3 linked regions of the Stegostoma tigrinum genome follow. The protein of the gene in region 3 interacts with the protein of the main gene of each other region in a biochemical or structural test. Links are inferred from orthologs where the notes say so. Each region holds a gene or a part of one and is shown on either strand. Other genes may lie near its edges.

Region 1 (7,887 bases), on a different chromosome or scaffold from region 3:
AGCAGGCTTAAAGAACTGATTGGCCTATCTGCTCCTGCTCCTATTTTCTATGTTTCTACATAGCAATAGCCATGCCAAAAACAGCCTCACAGCACCAGGGACCCAGGTTCGATTCCAGCCTCGGGTGACTCTCTGTGCAGAGTTTGCACGTACTCCCAATGTCTGCATGGGCTTCCTCCAGGTGCTCCGGTTTCCGTCCACAGTCCAAAGATGTGCAGGCTAGGTGGATTGGCAATGCTAAATTGCCCATAGTGTTCAGGGGTGTGTGGATTATAGGGGGATGCGTTTGGGTGGGATGGTATAAGGGGTGGTGTGGACTTGTTGGGCCGAAGGGCCTGTTTTACACTGTAGGGAATTTAATCTAATTTCTTGCTTTACCTGTATGTTAATTTTCTGTATTAGTTATATAAGCACACCCACATTCCTCTGAATATCAAGTATTGATTGTTCTAATTGAAAACTATTGATTTTATACTCTTCCTACTGAAGTGAATAACCTTATTTCCTATCATTACATTGCAACCCCTTCCAACTCAGTTAAAAATATAAAATGTCTTTGCAGATTACATCCTCTTCCCAGCTTACTTTCTCACCTAGTTCCTTATCTACAAAACCAATGAGGTTACACTCGGACCCTTCAACCAAACTGTTGACAATTAATGGTAAATAATGGTATCTCCGAAATTCAGGACTTTTCTAGTTATTGCTTGCCAACCTGAGACCTAACTCTAACCTTCAGGAATCAAGAGTTCAATAATTAAGCACCTTTTCCCATGTCCTTACCCCAAACCCCATACACCAAAGCCTCGTCATCATTTAGCCTGCTACCGCGACCAACTCAGTGTCAGCTAATGGTCCCTCACTCCATCTCCACTTATCATTTACTCCTCCCCAATCCTATCTTCAGCATACAGGCTAACCTTTTCCTAGCTAATTACTTCTGAAGAAGGGTCACTGGACTCAAAACTTTGACTCTGCTTTCTCTCCATAGAGACCTGCCAGACCTGCTGAGTTTTTCCAGTGATTTCTGTTTTTGTTTCCGATTTCCAGCAACCACAGTTCTTACGGGTTTTCTTTAAATCTATTTATTGCTACTCCATTTTTTGCCCTTTATATCAACTTTCACTAATTCTACTACACTAGTCCAATCTCAAGAGCATTTATAATAAATGTGAAGTACTGCAGAAATTGGAGATTTGAAAAAACAATTAGAAAGCAGAGAAATTCAGCACATCAAGAGCTTATACCTTGTGCAGCCCTTTTTGTGACATCTTATTGAATCCTTTTAGAAATCTAAATATGCCTGGGCTGGAACAACTCAGCAATGCGCAGACCGACAGGCTGGAGTTGTCCTCCTTAAAAGGAGAGAAGGCTGAGGGAAGGGATCTGATCAAAGTGTACAAAATTCTGAGGGGCACAGATGGGTAGACACTTTTCCCCTTAATTGAGGGGTAAATAACAAGGGGGCAGTTTTAAGGTTAGGAGCAGGAAGGTTAGAGTGGGTTTGAGGATTTCCTTTTCACCTAGAGGGTTGTGGGCATTTAGAACAGAATGTCTAATAGGACGTTAGAGAAGCCTCAAGTAATTTAAAAAGCTATATAGCTGAACAGTTGAAACTCGATTCTATACTAGGCCACAGGCTAAATGCTGGAAAATGGGATTAAAATAGATCCATATTTGATGGCTGGTGTAGAAACAACAGTCCTCTTTCCATGTTGTAAAATCTCTATGGCTAAGAAGTTGAAATCTAACCTGGTGTTCAGAATAGTATCTATCCCTCTAAGAACATTCCTACAACTAATTATCTAGTCACTAACACATTCTTGTTGTGGAACCTTGCTATGTGCAAATTGGCTGCTGCATTTCAAAAAATGACTTTGAAAATAACATGTTGACTATAAAAATGCTCTGGGGTATTCCAAGGTTGTGAAAGATTATAGAAAATGTTTTGCTTTTAGAAGTAAACAGGTTTCTGCAATGTCCACATGCGTGCATAACACGAGAACCTGAAAGCAGATTGTCACTATTCTGTAATGAATTAATCTGAAAGCTAACTCTAGTAGTGACATAGTACTCGCAAAAGGCCTGTAATTCCAATGACAGGGCAATCCCAGGAGAGGGAAATTCTCATCTGTAGGAAAGGTTGAACTAGGGCAATAGACAAGTGAAAAACAAACTGCTCGGCAATGCTCCATCGCCACCCCTCCCCCATTCAAACTGCATCTTCATTTTAGAACACAGTGCTTGCGTGCAGGACCATTGTTGATGCCTGCAATTGATTACTGTTACGAAGATCAACCTGTCAACAATCTATCTTGAAGCCATTCTGCCTCTACGTTATCATTGAAGAATCATCGCTTGGAAGCACACCATTTATACACTTTATCACCAACATTTATTTTTTCCATTGAAAGGAACATTTCATTCCATGGATTTAAAAAGGAAATTAGGCCATCACTCGTTTTAGCAGGCAACCCAGATTTCAACACCCAAAACAGAAGGAAAGTTATCCATCACACAGACTCAGATAAGGTAGAAAGTGCCACGTGTGAGGGAGATATTTCTTTGATTCAGACTTGAATCAATTGCCTCACCAAAACAAAAAGCCCAACCGCCGTTACCCCACTCCGTTTGTGCTACAACCCAGGTCGATGTCGAAAAACAGAAACTTACAAATAACATGAAACGTGATCAAGCCATCGTCCTGTTTTCCGGGAGAGCGAGTTTAAAAAGCAGACGGCTGAGGAGTTTTTGAGTATTAATTCAGGGTGAGGAGTCAGAGGTCTGCGCGAAGGCACTGAAACAACGACGGGCTTCCCTTGGCCTCGGAGAGAGGAAAGGCAGGAAAGGCGCCAGGCCTTCTCACGACATCATCACGGCCGGGCAACCCGACCTTTTCAAAGCCATAGTCACCCCGGATGGACACTAACGTTCAGCTTTTCGCGAAAGGCACGGACGGAGAAACGGCCACCGTTCCGCTGATAATTTGAGGAGACAGAAACTTCCCCTCATCACTTCCTACTGCGCCGGGCAGCCAGCTTTCCGTCTGCGCATTACCTCATCAAACCTTGCGGTCAGACAACAGTGACGCCATGACGCTGATGACACGAGGCCACACCGCCGCGCGGAGGGGCGGGGAAGAGGAGGAGGTGATGCGCGTGCGCAGAAGGCTTTGGAACGGATCGGAGCTCTGTGTGGATATGAGCCTACGTTCCGGTGGAAGTGCGCATGCGCATTTCCATCAGCTGCCCGGCGGCGATGAGGGAAATGCGCGTGCGCAACTCCGCGGGCGGGCGTGAACCTGGATTGGCGGGCGCGCATGGCGTGTTTGCGTGAATCGGACGGAGTTGCGCGCGTTCGCGGTCAGACGCGGCATCGCGCCCTGGCTTTGGGATTGGGTTGAGCGGGGAGGAGGGCAAAGGGAAGAAGACGCGCGTGCTTGCCGCTCGTGGCCTGGTGAGTGGTACGCATGCGCAGTGCTGGGGCGCGCGCGGTTTTCCGTTGGGATGTCAGATTGGCGGTGTCTCCTCGGTACCCCTCTCCCGTGAATCGGTGTTGACACCGCCGCCTGTGCGCTCTCTCTAAAGTTCGGTATATTCCGCTTCTTTATCCATCCCTGTTCTCCGGTAACGACCGAACGCAAAACAGAAAATAGTAGTTTTATTTTAATTTAGGGCGGGTGGCCCTGGCTCCATCCAACGTGAGGTCACCTGACAGCAGTTTAACTACTTCACGTCTTTATTTTATCTTCTCTTATTTAAAAATTCACAAATCAGAAAGACAACGCGCTGTCGTGATGGACGAATGGTCGGTGTGACGGGCGGTTGAATATTTGGAGAGTGAACTGCGGCCGGATGCTTCATCTTGAGAAGGTGAGGCCGTCCCCTTCTCCCTCGCCTTGTGGCTGGGTAGTTTGTGTGGGTGTTTGGTAAGGGCTGGGGAAGAGAAGAAACGAGCCGTTCACTCGAGCGTTTTGCCTTTTTTTTTCCTTTCTGCATCAGTCATGAATTTATAAACACAGCTGTCGGCTTTTAAACTGAGGCCGTGGGGAGATACTCCCCGATTGCTGAATGAAACTTCTCAAATATAATCCCTGCAGTGTGGAAACAGGCTATTCGGCCCAGAGAGTCCATACTGATCCTCCGAAGAGCATTCCACCCAGACCCATACCCAATCCCTGTATTTTCCATGGCTGACGGACCTAATCAGTGCATCCCTGAACACTATAGGCAATTTAGCTTGGCTAATCTGCCTAACCTGCACATCTTTGGGCTATCGATATTTCTATTAGATGGTTAATACCAGCCCTGCTTTCTTGCGTTTTTCATTGATGTGTAATAAGAAGTCACCTGTAATATAAATTGTTCTTCCATTTGAAATTCAGCATCTAGCCCCTCTTCGGACGATTGCAAGGCAAAATGTTTAGTCATACATCTTTGTTTTGCCTTGATTTACTCATTTTTTTAAACTTTTAGTTCCAAACTTTACTCAATTTTTTCTTAATTTGTACCAAACAGCTAAAATTTAAGAATTAAACTAGCCCTTGTGGATAACAGTCAAGTTTCCATTTTTCTTAAAAAGAACTGTTGCTTTATCTAAAGTTAGAAATTGCAAGCTATAAGAATGTAGCCTACAGGAACTTCAACGCACAATAAACATTCTCACCGAGAGCCTATAAGGCTATGATAAAGTTCATGTGAAATCATAGCCAGTACCGAACTTACACACAACTGGACCACACCATTCTTCATATAACAGATTTCCAGTATCCCCTGATTTGATAAAGTGCTAATGTAATGGTTTTATTTGCTTGTGTTGCTGCACAAATAAATGATAGTATAATTACTTGACTTTCAAGAGTGACAAAAATCTTGACAATTTGAGCTGGCACCTTCAACGTTGCTCTCTAATAGCTTAATTCAGTGACTTGCATTTGTATCCTGTACTGCCTATAACCTTGGCTTCACGGCAGTTTAATCAGGTAAATACTGACAAGTGTCAAATAATCGAGGTAGATACTAAGGGCTAGATCCCTGGAATGGTAGGTTTAACGTATGATGAACGGCTAAGGATCCTGGGATTGTACTCATTAGAGTTTACAAGGTTATGGGGAGATCTAATAGAAATTTACAAGATAATGTATGGTCTAGAAGGGGTGGACGCTAGGAAGTTGTTTCTGTTAGGCGGGGAAACTAGGACCTGTGGGCACAGCCTTAAAATTAGAGGGGGTAAATTTAAAACTGAACTGAGACGGCATTTCTTCAGCCAGAGAGTGGTGGGCATGTGGAATTCATTGCCACGGAGTGCAGTGGAGGCCGGGAAGTTGGATGCCTTCAAGGCAGAAATCAACAAATTCTTGATCTCAGAACGAATCAAGGGCTATGGGGAGAGTGCAGGGAAGTGGAGTTGAAATGCCCATCAGCCATGATTTTAATGGCGGAGTGGACTTGACGGGCCAAATGGCCTTACTTCCATTCCTGTGTCTTATGGTCTTATGGCCATATTCAAGGAGGGGAGACAGAGAGAAGTTTGGAAATTCCAGAGCTGCAGCATGGACCATTGAAGTCATGGCTGAGAACAGTGGGGCAAAGGAACTTTGAGGCATGCAAACTTTCAGGCTGGAGGAAATTACAATGATATAAAGGAGAGATTTGAACCCTATGATAAAAAAGCAAATTTTGTCTAGTGGTAGGTAGAGAGGTAAGTCAGTGAGTATACTGGTTAGTAGATATTTGACTGAGTATATGGACGGTAGAGTTGCAGTGACTTTGGGTTTATGCACAGGCAGTGTCTGCTGATATACAGTCAGCATGGATTTTTCAAAATCATAGTTTTTATTGTGCAGCTGGATATTATTTGTTACGTGTGAAATCCAATAATTAGCATGATGCAGCTTAACCTTCCATGTTTTGGTAACTCTTAAATGCTTCTCCTGACCAGTATAGTCATGTTTCATACTCAGGGCACAGTCCTTAGTGTACTACTCAGAATTTAAATGTCACCATTCGGTGAAATAATCCAGTAGCATTCATCTCCAGTTTTGCAACACTAATGTAGACACTTGCTGTACAAGGCTAGTCCTCTTTCCTCCACCCAGCACTTAACTGAAGCCCACGATCAGGAGGAAATTAGACGCCATCAAGCCAGCAAGCTGACTCTGGAAATCTGATTGGAATTGGTGGTTCACCGGAGGCCAAAACCCCATTTTGCTTGAGCTTCTGACAAGTGCAATGGACTAAAAATAAACTTTAATCCACCACCTCAACTTCTTGTTGTGAGTTATAGAACACAGAACAATACAGCGCCGAACAGGCCCTTCGGCCCTCGATGTTGTGCCGACCTGTGAACTGATCTAATCCCCCTACACTATCCCATCATTATCCATATGCTTATCCAAGGACTGTTTAAATGCCCCTAATGTGGCTGAGTTAACTACATTGGCAGGCAGGGCATTCCACACCCTTACCACTCTGAGTAAAGAACCTGCCACTGACATCTGTCTTAAATCTATCACCCCTCAATTTGTAGCCAAGTCCTCTTGTACAAGCTGAAGTCATCATCCTCGAAAAAGACTCTCACTGTCCACCCTATCTAATCCTCTGATCGTCTTGTATGTCTCTATAAAATCCCCTCTTAGCCTCCTTCTCTCCAACGAGAACAGACCCAAGTCCCTCAGCCTTTCTTCATAGGGCCTTCGCTCTAGACCAGACAACATCCTGGTGAATCTCCTCTGCACCTTTTCCGATGCTTCCACATCCTTCCTGTAATGGGGTGACCAGAACTGCACGCAGTATTCCAAATGAGGTCGCACTAGCATTTTGTACAGTTGCAGCATGACATCATGGCTCCGGAACTCAATCACCGTAAGCCGCCTTAACAGCACTATCAACCTGGGTGGCAACTTTCAGGGATCTATGTACATGGACACCAAGATCCCTCTGCACATCCACACTACCAAGAATCTTTCCATTGACCTGGTATTCTGCCACCTTATTATTCCTCCTAAAGTGAATCACCTCACATTTATCCGTATTAAAATCCATTTGCCACGTTTCAGCCCAATTCTGCAGTTTATCCAAGTTATCTGTGTAATTGCTCCTAAAACTAGGCTGCTTCCAATTGCTCCAGTAGCGTGTGTTTACTGACAATTCCTGGAATTCCAGATGACTTCCAGACTTCCACCCCTTTTTAAAATATTCACAGAAACACCCCACTTCCTGCCAAGCCATTGTTCGCAAGACAAACACATGCCTAGATTAATTGACCATAAACGCTTATTTGACACCAATTAAAACACAAGCATTGAAATTCCAGGAAATTGATGATTTTTTTTCCAATGTTGGCTGAGAGTTTCTGTCCTTTTATTTGTGATATTGCTGGTATATACAACCACCCCATTGACTCAGCGGCTCCCCTTTTCTGAGTACAAAAAGGCTCCAGAAAAGCAAAAAATGGCCTGCTTACCAATCCCATTTGCACACTTCATCCACAGAGTCTTCACTTTTGGAAATTAGGGAACTGGAATCCAGATCTTCTGACCTAGCAATAGGGACACTACCACTGCACTGCAAAATTCAACTTAAAATTGTCAAAATTCTCATGTGGTGTATGTCAATGCATGTATTTCCACCATGTTTTATTTGCAGTTCTGATTCTGCCCCAAACCACCTTTCTGATTCTTAACCTTCCTTTGTAGATTCTAGAACCCATTCCTGTCTAGACCTGTGTGCCAAATTACAACAGCAAGTAGTTTAACAATTCTTATCTCCTAATAATGTTCTCCATTTCTGTGTTAGCTGCATCATTTAAAAAACAAACCTGTCATAACAATAAATAAATAGCACTTTTGTGACTCAAAATAGCATTTAACTGTTAGTGTTTCAATTG
Region 2 (7,860 bases), on a different chromosome or scaffold from region 3:
AAAAGCTGACATTTTGGGCAAGGGCCTGCTGTGTTCATCCAGCTCCGCGCTCTGTTATCTTGGATTCTCCAGCATCTGCAGTTCCCAGTATCACTGTAATGCAAGATAATTGTTTAGTGACCACTAAACCAAATTTAGTTATGATGTTTAAGAGGCTGTTAGGTAAATGAAGGCAAATATTAGAAGACAGTGGGGGTGTGTGACAGCACAGTGGCTCAGTGGTTAGCACTGCAACCTCACACCACCAGGGACCCACGTTCGATTCCAGCCTCAGGCATCTGTCTGTGCAAAGATTGCACATTCTCCCCATGTCTGCATGGGTTTTCTCCAGGTTTCCTTCCACAGTCCAAAGATGTGCAGGCTAGGTGAATTGGCCATGCTAAATTGCCTGTAGTGCTCAGAGGTGTGTGGGATGATCCAAGGGGCAGTGTGGACTTGTTGGGCCAATGGGCCTGTTTCCACACTGTAGGGAATCATAAAAAAAATTGGTTTAATTTTAGTGGTCTTAGTGGAGTACTAACATCAGCTGAAATGTGATACTAAAAATAGTCTTTTGTACCAAAATTTTTCAAATGTCTTAATAAAGTTATTTGAAGTTTATTATACTGACATGAATGTTTCATTGAAATACATGCATGTGTTTTACTTTTCCAAAATACACATCATTACATATCATTAAATAAAAAGAATAGGTTATTGTTGTCACTGGAAACAAAGCAGCATTATTTGCAGAAAGACTAATCAAATAAGAGAACATCCAGTGGGCTACTTATATACAAACAGGAGTTAGGCCAGTCAGCCTTTCATGACTTCCACACTCAATGAGATCATGACAGACCTTACCATTTAAGAAATGTTCTATACTTAGTTTACTTACACTAATGTGGATAACCAAATTTTACCAACATATATCCAGATATTCCATCTGCCATGTTCTTGCCTAATCACCAAGTCTGTCCACATCCTCCCAAAACACTTGATATCATTATCAGTCCAAAGATGCGCAGGCTAGGTGGATTGGCCATGTTAAATTGCCCGTTGTGTACATGGGTGTGTGTGTGTGTTATAGGGGGATGGGTCTGGGTGGGACGCTGCAAAGGGTGGTGTGGAGTTGTTGGGCTGAAGGGCCTGTTTCCACACTGTAGGGAATCTAATTAATCACAGCACAGCTTTGTAGTTATTTTCATCCACCCTGGTTGGATATGATATGACATACCTTCAAGGCAGGTGGGATTTGAACCAGGATCTCTGGCCTGAAGGCAACACAGATCCCTCCACTTAGCTTTGTATCATCTGCAAATATGTCATTCTGGACCCCACATCCGAATTGCCTATATATTGCAAACAGCTGGGGCCCAAATTCTGACCCACTGATATCCTTCTAGAAACAGCCTACCAACACGAGAATAATCTGTTCATTTCTAGGTCTGTTTCCAACCTGTTGGCTCAATCTTCATCTATGCCCACACATAACCTCCTATTCTGAGATAATGGGAACTGCAGATGCTGGAGAATTCCAAGATAATAAAATGTGAGGCTGGATGAACACAGCAGGCCAAGCAGCATCTCAGGAGCACAAAAGCTGACGTTTCGGGCCTAGACCCTTCATCAGAGAGGGGGATGGGGAGAGGGAACTGGAATAAATAGGGAGAGAGGGGGAGGCGGACCGAAGATGGAGAGTAAAGAAGATAGGTGGAGAGAGTATAGGTGGGGAGGTAGGGAGGGGATAGGTCAGTCCAGGGAAGACGGACAGGTCAAGGAGGTGGGATGAGGTTAGTAGGTAGATGGGGGTGCGGCTTGGGGTGGGAGGAAGGGATGGGTGAGAGGAAGAACCGGTTAGGGAGGCAGAGACAGGTTGGACTGGTTTTGGGATGCAGTGGGTGGGGGGAAGAGCTGGGCTGGTGGTGTGGTGCAGTGGGGGGAGGGGACGAATTGGGCTGGTTTAGGGATGCAGTAGGGGAAGGGGAGATTTTGAAACTGGTGAAGTCCACATTGATACCATATGGCTGCAGGGTTCCCAGGCGGAATATGAGTTGCTGTTCCTGCAACCTTCAGGTGGCATCATTGTGGCAGTGCAGGAGGCCCATGAAGGACCGCAACTTTCCCCCCACAGTGATCGAGAACGCCCTTGACCGCGTCTCCCGTATTTCCCGCAACACATCCCTCACACCCCGCCCCCGCCACAACCGCCCTAAGAGGATCCCCCTCGTTCTCACACACCACCCTACCAACCTCCGGATACAACGCATCATCCTCCGACACTTCCGCCATCTACAATCCGACCCCACCACCCAAGACATTTTTCCATCCCCACCCCTGTCTGCTTTCCGGAGAGACCACTCTCTCCGTGACTCCCTTGTTCGTTCCACACTGCCCTCCAACCCCACCACACCCGGCACCTTCCCCTGCAACCGCAGGAAATGCGACACTTGCCCCCTCACCCCTATCCCAGGCCCCAAGATGACATTCCACATTAAGCAGAGGTTCACCTGCACATCTGCCAATGTGGTATACTGCATCCACTGTACCCAGTGCGGCTTCCTCTACATTAGGGAAACCAAGCGGAGGCTTGGGGACCGCTTTGCAGAACACCTCCGCTCAGTTCGCAACAAACAACTGCACCTCCCAGTCGCAAACCATTTCCACTCCCGCTCCCATTCTCTAGATGACATGTCCATCATGGGCCTCCTGCAGTGCCACAATGATGCCACCCGAAGGTTGCAGGAACAGCAACTCATATTCCGCCTGGGAACCCTGCAGCCATATGGTATCAATGTGGACTTCACCAGTTTCAAAATCTTCCCTTCCCCTACTGCATCCCTAAACCAGCCCAGTTCGTCCCCTCCCCCCACTGCACCACACAACCAGCCCAGCTCTTCCCCCCCACCCACTGCATCCCAAAACCAATCCAACCTGTCTCTGCCTCCCTAACCGTTCTTCCTCTCACCCATCTCTTCCTCCCACCCCAAGCCGCACCCCCGTCCACCTAATAACCTCATCCCACCTCCTTGACCTGTCTGTCTTCCCTGGACTGACCTATCCCCTCCCTACCTCCCCACCTATACTCTCTCCACCTATCTTTACTCTCCATCTTCGGTCCGCCTCCCTCTCTCCCTATTTATTACAGTTCCCTCTCTCCATCCCCCTCTCTGATGAAGGATCTAGGCCCGAAACGTCAGCTTTTGTGCTCCTGAGATGCTGCTTGGCCTGCTGTGTTCATCCAGCCTCACATTTTATTAACCTCCCATTCTCGTGTGTTTTGAATTTGCTGAAGGTCCTGCAGGGGACGCTATAAAACCTGAAAATTTCAGTTTGTTACATCCGTTCACTTTCCATAATCAATTTTGTGACTAACAGCCCCCTGACCTCCAAGTTGCAAATTCGTAATGATTGTGCCCTACATTTTTGTCCATTCATCTATTGATCATATTCTTTATAATTCACTTCCCCTACTACTCGTGAGAGCTATTAAGTCTGCAGTCGCCTGTTTTCTTTCTCACTTCCTTATTTATTAGTGGTACGACGTACGTAGCTTCCAACCTTTAGGAATCACTCCTTAGAATTTAGAAGCTGATGACCAACGACGCACTGTCCCGATAGCAAACACAACAAATGCTGGAGATTACAGCGGCTCAGACAGCATCGATGCAGAAAGAGTCGGCTGAACATTTCGAGTTTAGATGACTCTTCATCACAGCTGAAGCTCGAAACGTTAGCTTTCTTTCCTTTCGTGGATGTCGTCTGACCCGCTGTGATCTCCAGCTTTTTTTTGTAGCATCTGCAGTAATTTGTTTCCTTCATTATCTTGATAGCCACGTCTTTAAACTGTGTGGGATTTAAACTATCAGGTCCTTGAAGGCCAACTTTCAGCTCCACTTTTTCTCCAGTAGAACTTTTTTTATTAATACTAATTTGCTGGATTCGATCTCTGGTTCGGGGAAATAGCTTGCACCATCCTCGGTGAAAACAAACACAAACTCATCTACCATTTCTCTTATTCCTCATTATGACTTCTAGTGACTGCCAGTAAAGGACCTACATTCGCCTTAGCCAAACCTAGCCATGATAAAGTGTGACTGACAGACGTATAATTTCTTCGTCTTTCTTCCTTACAGTGGGCACTGGAAGCGAGAAATCTTCAACGGGAGTGAGGAGTTTGCAAATCGATTGAACTCGTTCAAGCGTGGGGAGAATTAAGACAAGTCATGTAAGAAAGCGGGGTGATTACTGGGGAACGGAATTTGGCAGATTATCGCTGAGTCAGTGTAAATCTAAATGCAGATTTATTGAATAAAAATGTAACCATAGCCACGACCTCAACGGCACAATCCAGATCAAGTGGTTCACCTCTCCCCTCCCCCAATAACCGGTACAACAGGCCACGGACCGGTACTCTGATTGGTCCAGGATCCCTCTGTTGCTAGGATGGGGACTCATTCCTATTATTTACTGCAACGACGAGGTGGCGACTTCATTAGAAAACAGTATAAGTTAGCCGGGGGAGGGGGGGGCGGGGGATAAATAACGCCAGGACACCATTCAACATCCCTCATCATAGGAGTATGTGTTTCAATTTGCTTTAAACGTGTACATCGCAACGAATGGGTGATAAATAACCTGTACCGACAGCTACCGTTCTCCCCGAGGCTGAAGGCGGAGCCAAGCCGTGCCGAACCACACCACCGGTCCCGCCCATCCGTGGCGGCCCCTGTGATTGACATTCCAGTAGCCAGAGGAACGCTGCCCTGAGAGTTACGCGAGGTGGGCGGGCTGGGGAGCCAATCGCAGAGAGGCGCAGGCGGGACTTCCGTTGTTACTGGCTGGCTTCACCGGCACGAGCGGGAGCGGTTGTCCGGCGCGTTCTGAACCATCCTCGCCCTGAAAATGCACGCGGATGCAGTCAGTAAGTATCGAGGATCCGCCGCTCTAACTACTGCTGTCCCCCATGGTGCATACATATTTCACATGGCTATGCCATTTCCTTTGTCAGCACTACAGGGTTCATTTGTTTTTGTCTGCGTTTAGTGCAAGGTATTCTGTTTCACCTGCGTCTCTTTAATGGAGATGATTCGTGTGTCACAGAAGAGAGGTGACGCAGTTTTCTTTCCAGAGTGTCTCATATTAATGCCCTGACTAACCTGATCGCATTCTTTTTCTCCTTGTCCGATTCATGGTCGAAAGTGGATATCAGCAGAATGATATGGTGGCGGCATTGGGCAAGGAAGGGGATTATTATTCTCTTTCTCTACTCCCCCTCCCCCCGATGCAGAAGCTTTGTCAACTCTGCTGAGAAGCTGTCTGGAGTTGTATTTATTTCAGGATGTTGGGGAGGGTACGAGAATGTGGGACGCGTATATCAACGCGCAGGCGCAACGTTCGTGACGTTTTCTGGGAATTGTAGTTCTATGACGACTAATTATGTGATGACACACCTAGTGGCGTCACAAGGGAACTGCAATCCCCAGACTGCTTTATGCGGTGTAACCTAGGGAAGCGTTTACCTGGGGGCTCAGCTCCTTGGCCACTCTGGCAGATTGGTCTCAATGCAGTACTCTCTATCTAGGTTTTTTTTCCATCTTTGGCCATCCGCAGTGTCCGTTATTTAAATAAATATATTTTTCTTTGCGTATTAGTTCTACTTTAAATGGGGTTTACCTTTTTGTTGAACGGGCATTATTTTAACTACATTGTCCACCTTGGCAAATTCACCCAGTTCTGTGGCTATGCAAGATATGGTGATGATTCTGCATTCTGGTCAGTTGATTTCTACTGTAGTTAACAAAATTCCTTCAGTTTTGTTTAATTGTAGAAACCTTAGCATGAATATCATGTCTGCTTGGAGTTGATCTAGATGGCTTAACCAGCTTTCACAACTACGAGCTAATGCTGTGTTTTGCTACTTGTTAGAATTGCGTGTTTACCTGTACTAAGAATAAAAGGCAACTTTTTTTTGTTAAAACTGGAAGGTATGACACTTATGAATAAAGTCATGGCATGATTTTGATTTATTGTCATGTCTGTTTACTTACAAAATATGGTAAAAATTGTGGTATAATGTTGCCACTCTCCAGTGTCATCTTAAAATACAAATAAACCAAAATTAAAGAATTTTAAGGCAGAAAAATGAAGAAATAAAGAATAAAGAAATTGCTGACTTCTCATCTGTGGCCCAGTGTCATAGAACCCCCTGAATGAAGATGTATTAACTTCTGTCCTGATTTCCAGTTGTGGAAGTTTATTGTTCATTGTACTAGACAAGTATTGTCTTTTGCGTGCATTCAGTTTCAATCCACATTTTGAAAGTTGAAATTTGGTCTGTTAAGTTGAGGATATAAACCAAAGTTGCATTTTACATTAATTACAACTATGATAGACCAGTTTTGTAGTACAGTAGTTTTTATTTGAACTTGTGGAACAGGATGAAGAGAACCCAATACTTAACAGTATTCAATATAAGTTGTATTTGCACACTTTTGTTACATCCAAATGTAAGTGGATACTTTTATGTTTCGGTATAAGCCAAGTTTTTAGAACTAGAGTATAAAATGTCCGAAGCAATCACAGCTGGATTCTCAGGCTGTTGGAGTTCAAGAAGTTCAGACATCTAAGTGTGAAAATCTAACACATGAGATAGAGGGGGATGTTCTGAGATATGCAGTACTGAATGTGAAAGAACTGGGAAGTACAGGATAGTTAGAGCTGAGAGTTTAGAACCAAGTGTAGATAAGTGACCTCACAGCAAGCGGTACTAAGGTACTGTTCATCAATTATTTGCATTTTAAGACAATTTGTACTTTTAATCTGCACATAGTGATATAATAATGGAAATTTAAATGTCAATATGCAGAACTTAAAATGATTTGTAAATAAAGAGGAAAATTCACTAGTTTTGATGTAAATTAATGCTTAATAATTTGGCTTTAAATATCTCACCTATGTAATAAACATGACATATTTGACTTGCTCTTTAAAAGTGACCAGTGTTTAAAAGTTTCCTTTTGAGGACAATGGTAATGTAACAATATTGTTCATCTTTTTTTAAAGTTCTGGGTAAAATACTCCGAATTAAATCATTTGCAGTTCATTTGAGATAATGATGAAATCAGTGAATTATAATGCAATAAACTGATTAAGGGGCCTTAATGATCTCCTGAACTTGAATAAAGCCTAACTGAAGACTGAAAGCAGCCAAATTCACTGACAGGTATTTGTTCTTGCACAGCAGTGAAATTTGTGATTTATCATCCTCATTGTTTGTCACTGCTTCCTTAGCAAGGTAACCACTTTTAAATAATGAAACTGTAGAAAAGTGCACCACTCTTTGTGGATTATTTGAACCTCTCTACAATCTGTATTTACTACACTAATATATTAAATGGTCCTTTAGTTTGCAGAATTATTTTTGAAGATTTTGTACCTCCTCTGTCAAAGCTGTTCCAATGATCATATCAATACTGAGTATAACACAATAACATAAGGTTTTTGAAATTTGCTAAATTGTTTCCTAGTTAATATTTGTTTTTATATCTTTCTAGAAAAAAATCATTGGTGTTATATTATGGAAGCTGGTATTAATTATAATTGTGCATTAATTTGCAAATCTGACAAAATCCAGAGATTATTTTTGTTTCTGTAGATTAATTGTTAGGATTGATTGCTGTAACAACTTTATTGTTGTATCATGCGATTACCGAGATGGTGAAACATAAACTAGAAGGGTCTTGGCCCTTTTTACATGTACCAGTTCCTATGACTGTTCCACTGAAACTCTGATTTTAGAGCACATTTTACTGAAAATAACAGTCACTGTTTAGGTCATCCCGAAAGGTTTTGACATAGTCTGACACTGTAAAGGTTTAG
Region 3 (7,482 bases):
TCAGCACAAGACTGGAACTCACAACTGCTGTTGGATGGGAGGAGAAATAAGCACACATCTGCTCTTTGAAGGGGTGATAACCTCAGGCAGACAGGCAGATGGGGAAGAGCTGACCAGCTGCTGGGAACAGAATTCACATTAGTCGAGAGAGAGGAAGTGCAAGGACGATTGACACAATAGGGTCCTCAACAATAATCAGCTGCTAGTACCTAAAAGCAATCAGAACGCTTTTTTTAAAGACGAAAAGATCCTCCATACGGACATACAAAATTGGAGCAGAAATGGCCATTCAGCCCCTTGACCTCGCTCTACCAATCAATAACATTATGGCTGATTTGTTTGCTTTTTGAATTCCACATTCTCATCTGCTCCTCATGGTCATTTGAATCAAAAGCTATCAAGAATTTATCTACCTCTGCCTTAAAAATATTCAGTGATCCAAACTACATTGTCCGCTGAGGCAAAGTTACACAACTCTCAGAAAACAATAAATCCCTCATCTTTGTGCAACAGGGTCCCCAAGCTCTGGCTTCACCCACAAGAGGAAACAGCTTTTCCAAGTCCATCTTATCAAGACCATTCAGAACCTTACACATTTCAATCAAGTCACCCCTTCTAAACTAGTGAAAACAGGCCCTGTCTGTCCAACCTACAGATAACCCGCTCATCAGGTATCAGTCTGCTAAACCTCACCTTAACTGTCTCCAACATATTTACTTCTTCCCTTAAATAAGAGGCCAACACCATAAAGAACACCCCTCACATATAGTGCTTTCTAACTTGTGGCACTCAAATTATTAGATATTTAGAAAATAAAGTAACCTTGAAATTGACTGAACAGTGCTCATTTTCCAATATAAATCTTTCAAAACATTTTGGAGAACTGACAAATATTCTAAAAACATATTTATGTAGAAAGAGCACCTGTACTCTCTTTGTATTTGGTCAGTTCCCCTTTCTTTCTCCTTATCTGATCAATACAACCTCAGGATTTCCCTACCTTAGGTCCTCTTGTGAGTAATGGTCCGTTCCTCCTGCCCCTATCATGATAGACAACAGGTGCTGGAGTAGGCCCTTTGGTCCTTCGAGCCAGCACGACCATTCATGGCCAATCACCCACAATCAGTATCCTGTTCCTATCTTATCTCCATAACCCTTGATTCCACTACCTTTAAGAGCTCTATCTATCTCTTTCTTGAAACTGTCCAGAGAGTTGGCCTCCACTGCCGTCTGGGTCAGAGCATTCCATGGTCCAGTGATCTGTAAATCGTTGACACTGGATAAAGCATTTCCCAACATGTGTCCCCTTACACAATCCAAAAATACGTGGGGCTCAGGTAATGACAGAATTCTGCAGAGCAGCAGTTATTTTGGGGATGGCATTCACATTTTCATAGAATCCCCACACTGTGGAATCAGGCCGTTTGGACCAACGAGTCCATATCAACCGTCCGAACTGCATCTGACCCAGACACATCCCCCAACCTATCCCTGTCAACCTTGGGTCAAAACCAATGACTGATCAGCTGGATAAAGGCTTAGGAAAGAAAGTGAAACAGCATTCAGAAATCCAATGCCTGTCCATGAGTGGGCATGATGAATGGCTAGCTGGAGTACCAGCTACTGCCGCCACCTTTTGTCAAAGATTAGAAATGGATGACTGGTTATGTGAGGAGATTTCCAATGTGGATGGATGTCAGCAGCAGTACATTCCAAGTGTACAGGCCAAATAAAATCTAGAAATTACAGCACTTTGCCTTCGAGTCAATAAGAGCACTTCAACAGGAGCTATGTAGTTACTTTCCCTTGAAATATTTTATATTGCAGCCTTTCAAAGGCTTCCCCAGCTTCCTCTTAAATGATAACATAAAATATTCCCCAGAGTGCAGCGCAGCACACTCTAACAACTATGTTTGGAGAACCTCCAACTTCTTCCTTGCCCCCACAGGCCATCCCATTCAAGCATAGTCATCAACTTGCCAATGTGTGAAAACCACCTTCTGCAACTGATGTTTTGTGATTTTAATAAAACTCCATCTAGCCCCAATTTCAAACTAGCATTGCAAGTATGGGACTACATATCCTTCTTTGTCTTAACGCTTTGGAGAAGAAACCTGATATTTTGTTGGCAAATTTCAAACTTCTTGGGTGCTGGGACAACCGGTTCAGGAGTCCAAGGAATGGTAACCCTGGAATTGGTGTCGGTGGCAGATTACAAGAGTGGAGGCATTGAGAGGGTAGGGATTATATCAGTGTCGAAGGGAGGGGGTGACGGATGGGCTGAGGTGACAGATTGCAACTGCGGTTCCCCTCAAGAGACGGCAACACGGTGGTCAAAGACCAGAACTGGTACCAGTTACCAGGCAGTTAGGAAGCAGTTGGCTGTAGCTGCCTCACCCTGGCAGATCAGTGCTTTCATCAGGAGCCCACTGAACCTGGGGGAAATCCCTGACACCCTCTCCTCACCCCACAGTCAGGCCATAATGAGGGGAGGAAAGGGGTGGGGGCAACTGCACCCAACCCTGGGGAAGGGCGTTCTGAGGAGCCCAGCACCCAGATCCTCTCCTCTGTCTCTGCCCGCCGGCAATCCTGGGGTCTCTCGCAGTCCTGACCTCGGAGCAGAGCCCTCTCCACATGAAGCAAGCCGGTCGAATCGGATCCCAGGCTCCATTTAAGGCCTAGCTGCTTCCAGGCCTTCCTTGTGGGTCAGAGGCCGGTCTCCAACCCCCGCCGACAACAGTACCCCTTGCCCCGGTGCCTCAGAGAGGCCTGGCCCGCCGATCCCTTCACCCTCCCCTGGGCCCTGGCTTCGCCGAGCCCCCGGCCTCCCGTTACCTTTCTGAATGCGGAGCTGCGCGGCCGACGCCTTCTTGGTGCCGGTCTTGGCGGCTCCGGCGGCGTCCTCTTCCTTCTTCTGCTGCTTGAGCGAGAAGAGCTTGATCATGATGCGGCGGCGGCGGGGCCTCGGGACTCAGGCTGAGGGTCGGAGGGAGACACGGAGCCGCCGCTCGGGCAGGGAGCAGAGCGCGGGGCAGCGTGGGAGCGGAACGGGTCAGAGGGCAAGGGGGCGGGGTCAGCCCGTGGATGGTTAGCGGGCTTGGGCGGAGCCAAGGGAATGGGTGCGGCTAAGGCGTTGGGGCGGGGCCTAATAGCGTTGGGGGCGGGTCTAGAGGACGCGGGCGCTGTTACCGGCGTGGGCGCGGCTACATGTGACTGGGCGGAACTAAAGAATGGGGCGGGGCTACATGGGAGAGGGCTGATCTGAAGGATATGGGCGGGGTCAGTTGTGTGAGTATGGATACATTGGGGGGGCGGAGCGAGAAAACGTGAAGCGGGTCACAATAGGTGGGCGTGGCTAAGTGACAAGGCGGAATTTAGAGGTGAGGGCGCCGGTGCAGGAGGGGCGGAGCTGAATGATGGGGGAGGAGACTATTCAAAGTCTAGGGGCCGAAAAGGGGGCGCGGCAGGTTGCAAATGGGCGGGACTGATTTGAGGGGGCGTGGCCAGGTGAGTGACATGGGCGTGGTCGAGTGAATGGGGCGGGGCTGAATGGGAGAGGCGGATCTCCTGCAGTTTGGCGCACTGTGTTGAATGCTCAAGTTCCTGCTCATTTCACACGGCAACACCACTGCACAAAAACCTAGATAGGTCTAGGCCCGAAACGTCAGCTTTTGTGCTCCTGAGATGCTGCTTGGCCTGCTGTGTTCATCCAGCTCCTCACTTTTGTTATCTTGGATTCTCCAGCATCTGCAGTTCCCATTATCATTGCACAAAAACCTAAGTACTTTAGGTTGGGATGGAAGTGGTTGGTGAAGTGGATGAACAGTTCGCACGAGGAAGGGTCACCGGACCCAAAACATTAACTCTGTCTCTTCCTTCACAGATGGTGCCAGGCCTGCAGAGCTTTTCCAGCAATTTCTGTTTTTGTTCCTGATTTACAGCATCCACAGTTCTTTCGGTTCTTACACAACTGCACCTTGAGCAGTGCAGGAGAAGGAGAGATGGCTATAACACAAGGGGAGATGGGTGTCACACGATGGGGGGAAAATGGGTGCCATACAAGGGGAGATGGGCATCACATGATGGGGGGCAATGGGTGAAACACTTGCAAAATAAAAACCGAAAGTAAATCAGGAACAAAAACAAAGCTGCTGGAAAAGCTCAGCGAGTCTGGCAGCATCTGTGACGGAGAAAACAAAGTTAACATTTCGGGTCCGGTGATCCTTTCTCAGAACTTATAACGCTTACAAGATGGGTTACGCACAGAGGTGGGAAATGAGAGACACATTTCGCAATAAGCGACACATTCTGTGGATGGTGACACAAGAGACAGTGAGTGACACACTTAAGGGGCTTGAATGGCTCACGAGGCTCCAGACACATCACAGGCGATTTAAAGTGATAATGGGAACTGCAGATGCTGGAGAATCCAAGGTAACAAAGTGTGAAGCTGGATGAACACAGCAGGCCAAGCAGCATCTCAGGGGTCCAAAAGTGACGTTTCAGGCCTAGACCCTTCATCAGAGCCCTGATGAAGGGTCTAGGCCCAAAGCATCAGCTTTTGTGCTCCTGAGATGCTGCTTGGCCTGCTGCGTTCATCCAGCTTCACGCTTTGTTATATAGGCGATTTAAAGTTCTTTTTAAAGCATAGACACTTGTTGCCATGTGGGAAACACAGCAGGCACAAACAACGTGATAATGGGATTATCTGTCAGTTAGGTCAGTCGCGTGACAAAGCAATTCACATTTATGTTTGTGTGTGTAGACATTTTCTTTTCCTTATTCTATAGCAGATGTACCATGCTGGGAGCATACTCATCCCTGAGTCAAAGAAATGTGCGTTCCACTCCAGAGACTTAAGCATAAATACCCACATTAACAATGAAGGTTGCAGATGCCATCTCTTGCCCTCTCAGATAAATGTCAAAGCTTCCATTTCCCTTATCTCAAAGGAGAGCAAGGGAGACATCACCAGTCCTGGCCTATATTTAACAAAGACCTGTGGATACTAGAAATCTGAAACAAAACCAGAATTGCTAGAGAAACTCAGCAGGTCTGGCAACATCTGTGGAGAGTGAAGCAGAGTTATATTTTCAGTCCAGTGATCCTTCTTCAGCAGAGAAAGCCACAGGTGGGTAGAGGTATTTATGCTGATAACAGACGTGGGGTGGGGTTCGGGTTGAGTGGGTGGAAAAGTTGTCACCACAGTCCCACTCTTTCATTCGAGAGAGACAAGATTGGTGATATTTTAAACTAAGGATCACCATGCCCCAGGCAAGGGAGGACGCTTCATGGTAGCTTCAGTCCATATGTGAACTGAAACCACACAGTTGGTATCAATCTACATTATTAAACAGCTGTTCAGCCAACTGAGCTAACTGAGTTATATGGATTTATGTGCATTTGGAGAGGCAAGGAATGAATAGTAATAGCATGGTTTTGTGCAAGGAAAATCATGTGTCACAAACTTTATTGAGTTTTTTGGATGAAATAACTAAGAAGATTGATGAGAGAAGAGCAGTACACATTGTTTACTTGGGCTTAAGTAACACCTTTAACAAGGTTCCACATGGCATACTAAGTGGTCAAGCACGATCACATGGGATTCAGGGTGATCTTGCCAATTGGATACAAAATTGGCTGAACAGCAAGAGACTGAGGGTGATGGTGGGAGGGTTGTTTTTCAGACTGGAGGTCTTTGACCAGCACTGTTCCACAGGGATCAGTTCTGGGTTCTCTTTTGTTTGTCATTTATATAAATGATTTGAATGAGAATATGGAAGGCATGGTTAGTAAGTTTACAGATGACGCCAACATTGGTGGCATCGTAGACAGTGAAGAATGTTTTCTAAGATTACAAATGGATCTTGTTCAAGTGGGTTAATGGGTTGAGAAATGGCAGATGGAGTTCAATCTGGATAAATGTAAGGTATTGCATTTTGGTACAACAAACACAGGTAGGGCCTTGGGTAGTGTTGTAGAACAGACAGGCCTAGAGTGCAGGTACATAATTCTTTAACGTTTGTGTCACATATAGAGAGGATGGTTAAAAAGGCACTTGGCATGCTAGTCTTCATTGCTCAGTCATTTCAGCATAGGAGTTAGGACGTTATGCTCGGATTGTACAGGACTTTGGTGAGGCCTCTTCTGAAATACAGTGTCCAGTTCGGGTTGCCCAGTTATAGGAACGATATTATCAAGCTGTTTACAAGAAATGCTGGATAGGCTTAGACATTTTTCACTGGAACGTAGGGTGTTGAGAGGTGAACTTATAGAAGTTTATAAAATAATGAGAGGTATAGATAGAGTTGATGGAGTTGTCTTTTCCCTAGGATTGGGAATTTCAAGACTAAGGGGCACATTTTTAAAGTGAGAGGAGAGAGATTTCAAAAAGACATGAGGCGAACGTTTTACGTGCTGTGTGGTTTGCGTGTGGAATAAACTTCCTGAGGAAGTGTGGATGCATGGTACAATTACAATGTTTAAAAGACATTTGGATGGATACATGAATAGGAAAGGTTTTTAGGGATATGAGCCAGGAACAGGCAGGTGGGGCTAGTTTAGTTCGGGATATGTTCGGCCTGGACTGGTTGGGCCGGAGGGTCTGTTTCAATGCTGTATGACTTGATGATTCTAGGAAATGGTGGATGTGGATATAGTTACAATGTTTAAAAGACATTTAGATGAGTACATGAATAAGAAATGTTTGCAGGGATATGAGCCATGGTTTGGGATTATGGTTGGCTGTATGACTTTATGAGTGAGACAAATAAATGGAGATGATGCCCAGAGGGATCCGAAGGGATTGCTGATCATAAACAGGGAGAGAGATAAATGCTAAATGGGTGCTAACGACAAGTCTGAATAGTTGAAAATGGGTTGGCTGTGCTGGGAATAATCCATGCAGAAGAAAGCTTGGGGGTGTGGGGTGGCTAATGAACGTGGAGATAGTTGTTAATGCTCTGAAATTGTTCAACTCATCATTGACTCCCAAGGGCTGTAAGGTACTTAGGCAGAACATGAGGTGCTCATTGTCATCTTCTTGTTCCTTGTTGTGTTGAGCCTCGCTGGAGCACTGCAGCAAACCTAAGACAGAAATGTAGGCAATGGGAATATGGCAATCAATATTTATTCCTTAATCAATATTGCAAAGAAAAACTCATCCAGCTTACATCTGTGAGACTCCTGATGGTTTCCAACTTCCTAGTGGGTTGTCACATGGGACACTCAATCCTTCCATAACTTCTGAAACCCTCCAGGGCAATCTGGGGGCTCTCCACTTCCTCCTTGAATGGAGGCCAAACTGGTCACCATCCAACAACATCTTCGTTAGCCTGGCTGCATTTGTCCTGACAATGAATGGCTTCTCAATTGACTTGCTTAAATTAAAGATGTTGCTATGGGCAACTGCATAACTGCACTTGCCTGTTTCCGGAGCATCTCATGTTCTGATCCCACAGCTCATCCTTCAGAGTATTCATA

Evidence for each region.
Region 1: the proteins of ube2m (region 3) and dcun1d3 form a complex in vitro, tested with the Homo sapiens proteins (4 studies listed by BioGRID and IntAct). The link is inferred for Stegostoma tigrinum from reciprocal best matches to the Homo sapiens genes UBE2M and DCUN1D3.
Region 2: the proteins of ube2m (region 3) and dcun1d4 form a complex in vitro, tested with the Homo sapiens proteins (3 studies listed by BioGRID). The link is inferred for Stegostoma tigrinum from reciprocal best matches to the Homo sapiens genes UBE2M and DCUN1D4.

What each region holds. Positions count from the first base shown.
Region 1 is NC_081376.1:49,316,803-49,324,689, reverse strand, and holds the start of dcun1d3 (DCN1-like protein 3), read right to left. Parts: upstream 3,087-7,887; 5' UTR 2,674-3,086; intron 1-2,673. Other genes in the region: lyrm1 (LYR motif containing protein 1), read left to right, coding at 3,855-3,872. UniProt on the Homo sapiens protein: Contributes to the neddylation of all cullins by transferring NEDD8 from N-terminally acetylated NEDD8-conjugating E2s enzyme to different cullin C-terminal domain-RBX complexes and may play a role in the cell cycle progression by regulating the SCF ubiquitin E3 ligase complex, after UV damage.
Region 2 is NC_081354.1:106,280,497-106,288,356, forward strand, and holds the start of dcun1d4 (DCN1-like protein 4), read left to right. Parts: upstream 1-4,774; 5' UTR 4,775-4,884; coding exon 4,885-4,903; intron 4,904-7,860. UniProt on the Homo sapiens protein: Contributes to the neddylation of all cullins by transferring NEDD8 from N-terminally acetylated NEDD8-conjugating E2s enzyme to different cullin C-terminal domain-RBX complexes which are necessary for the activation of cullin-RING E3 ubiquitin ligases (CRLs).
Region 3 is NC_081391.1:19,879,903-19,887,384, reverse strand, and holds the start of ube2m (NEDD8-conjugating enzyme Ubc12), read right to left. Parts: upstream 3,078-7,482; 5' UTR 2,945-3,077; coding exon 2,836-2,944; intron 1-2,835.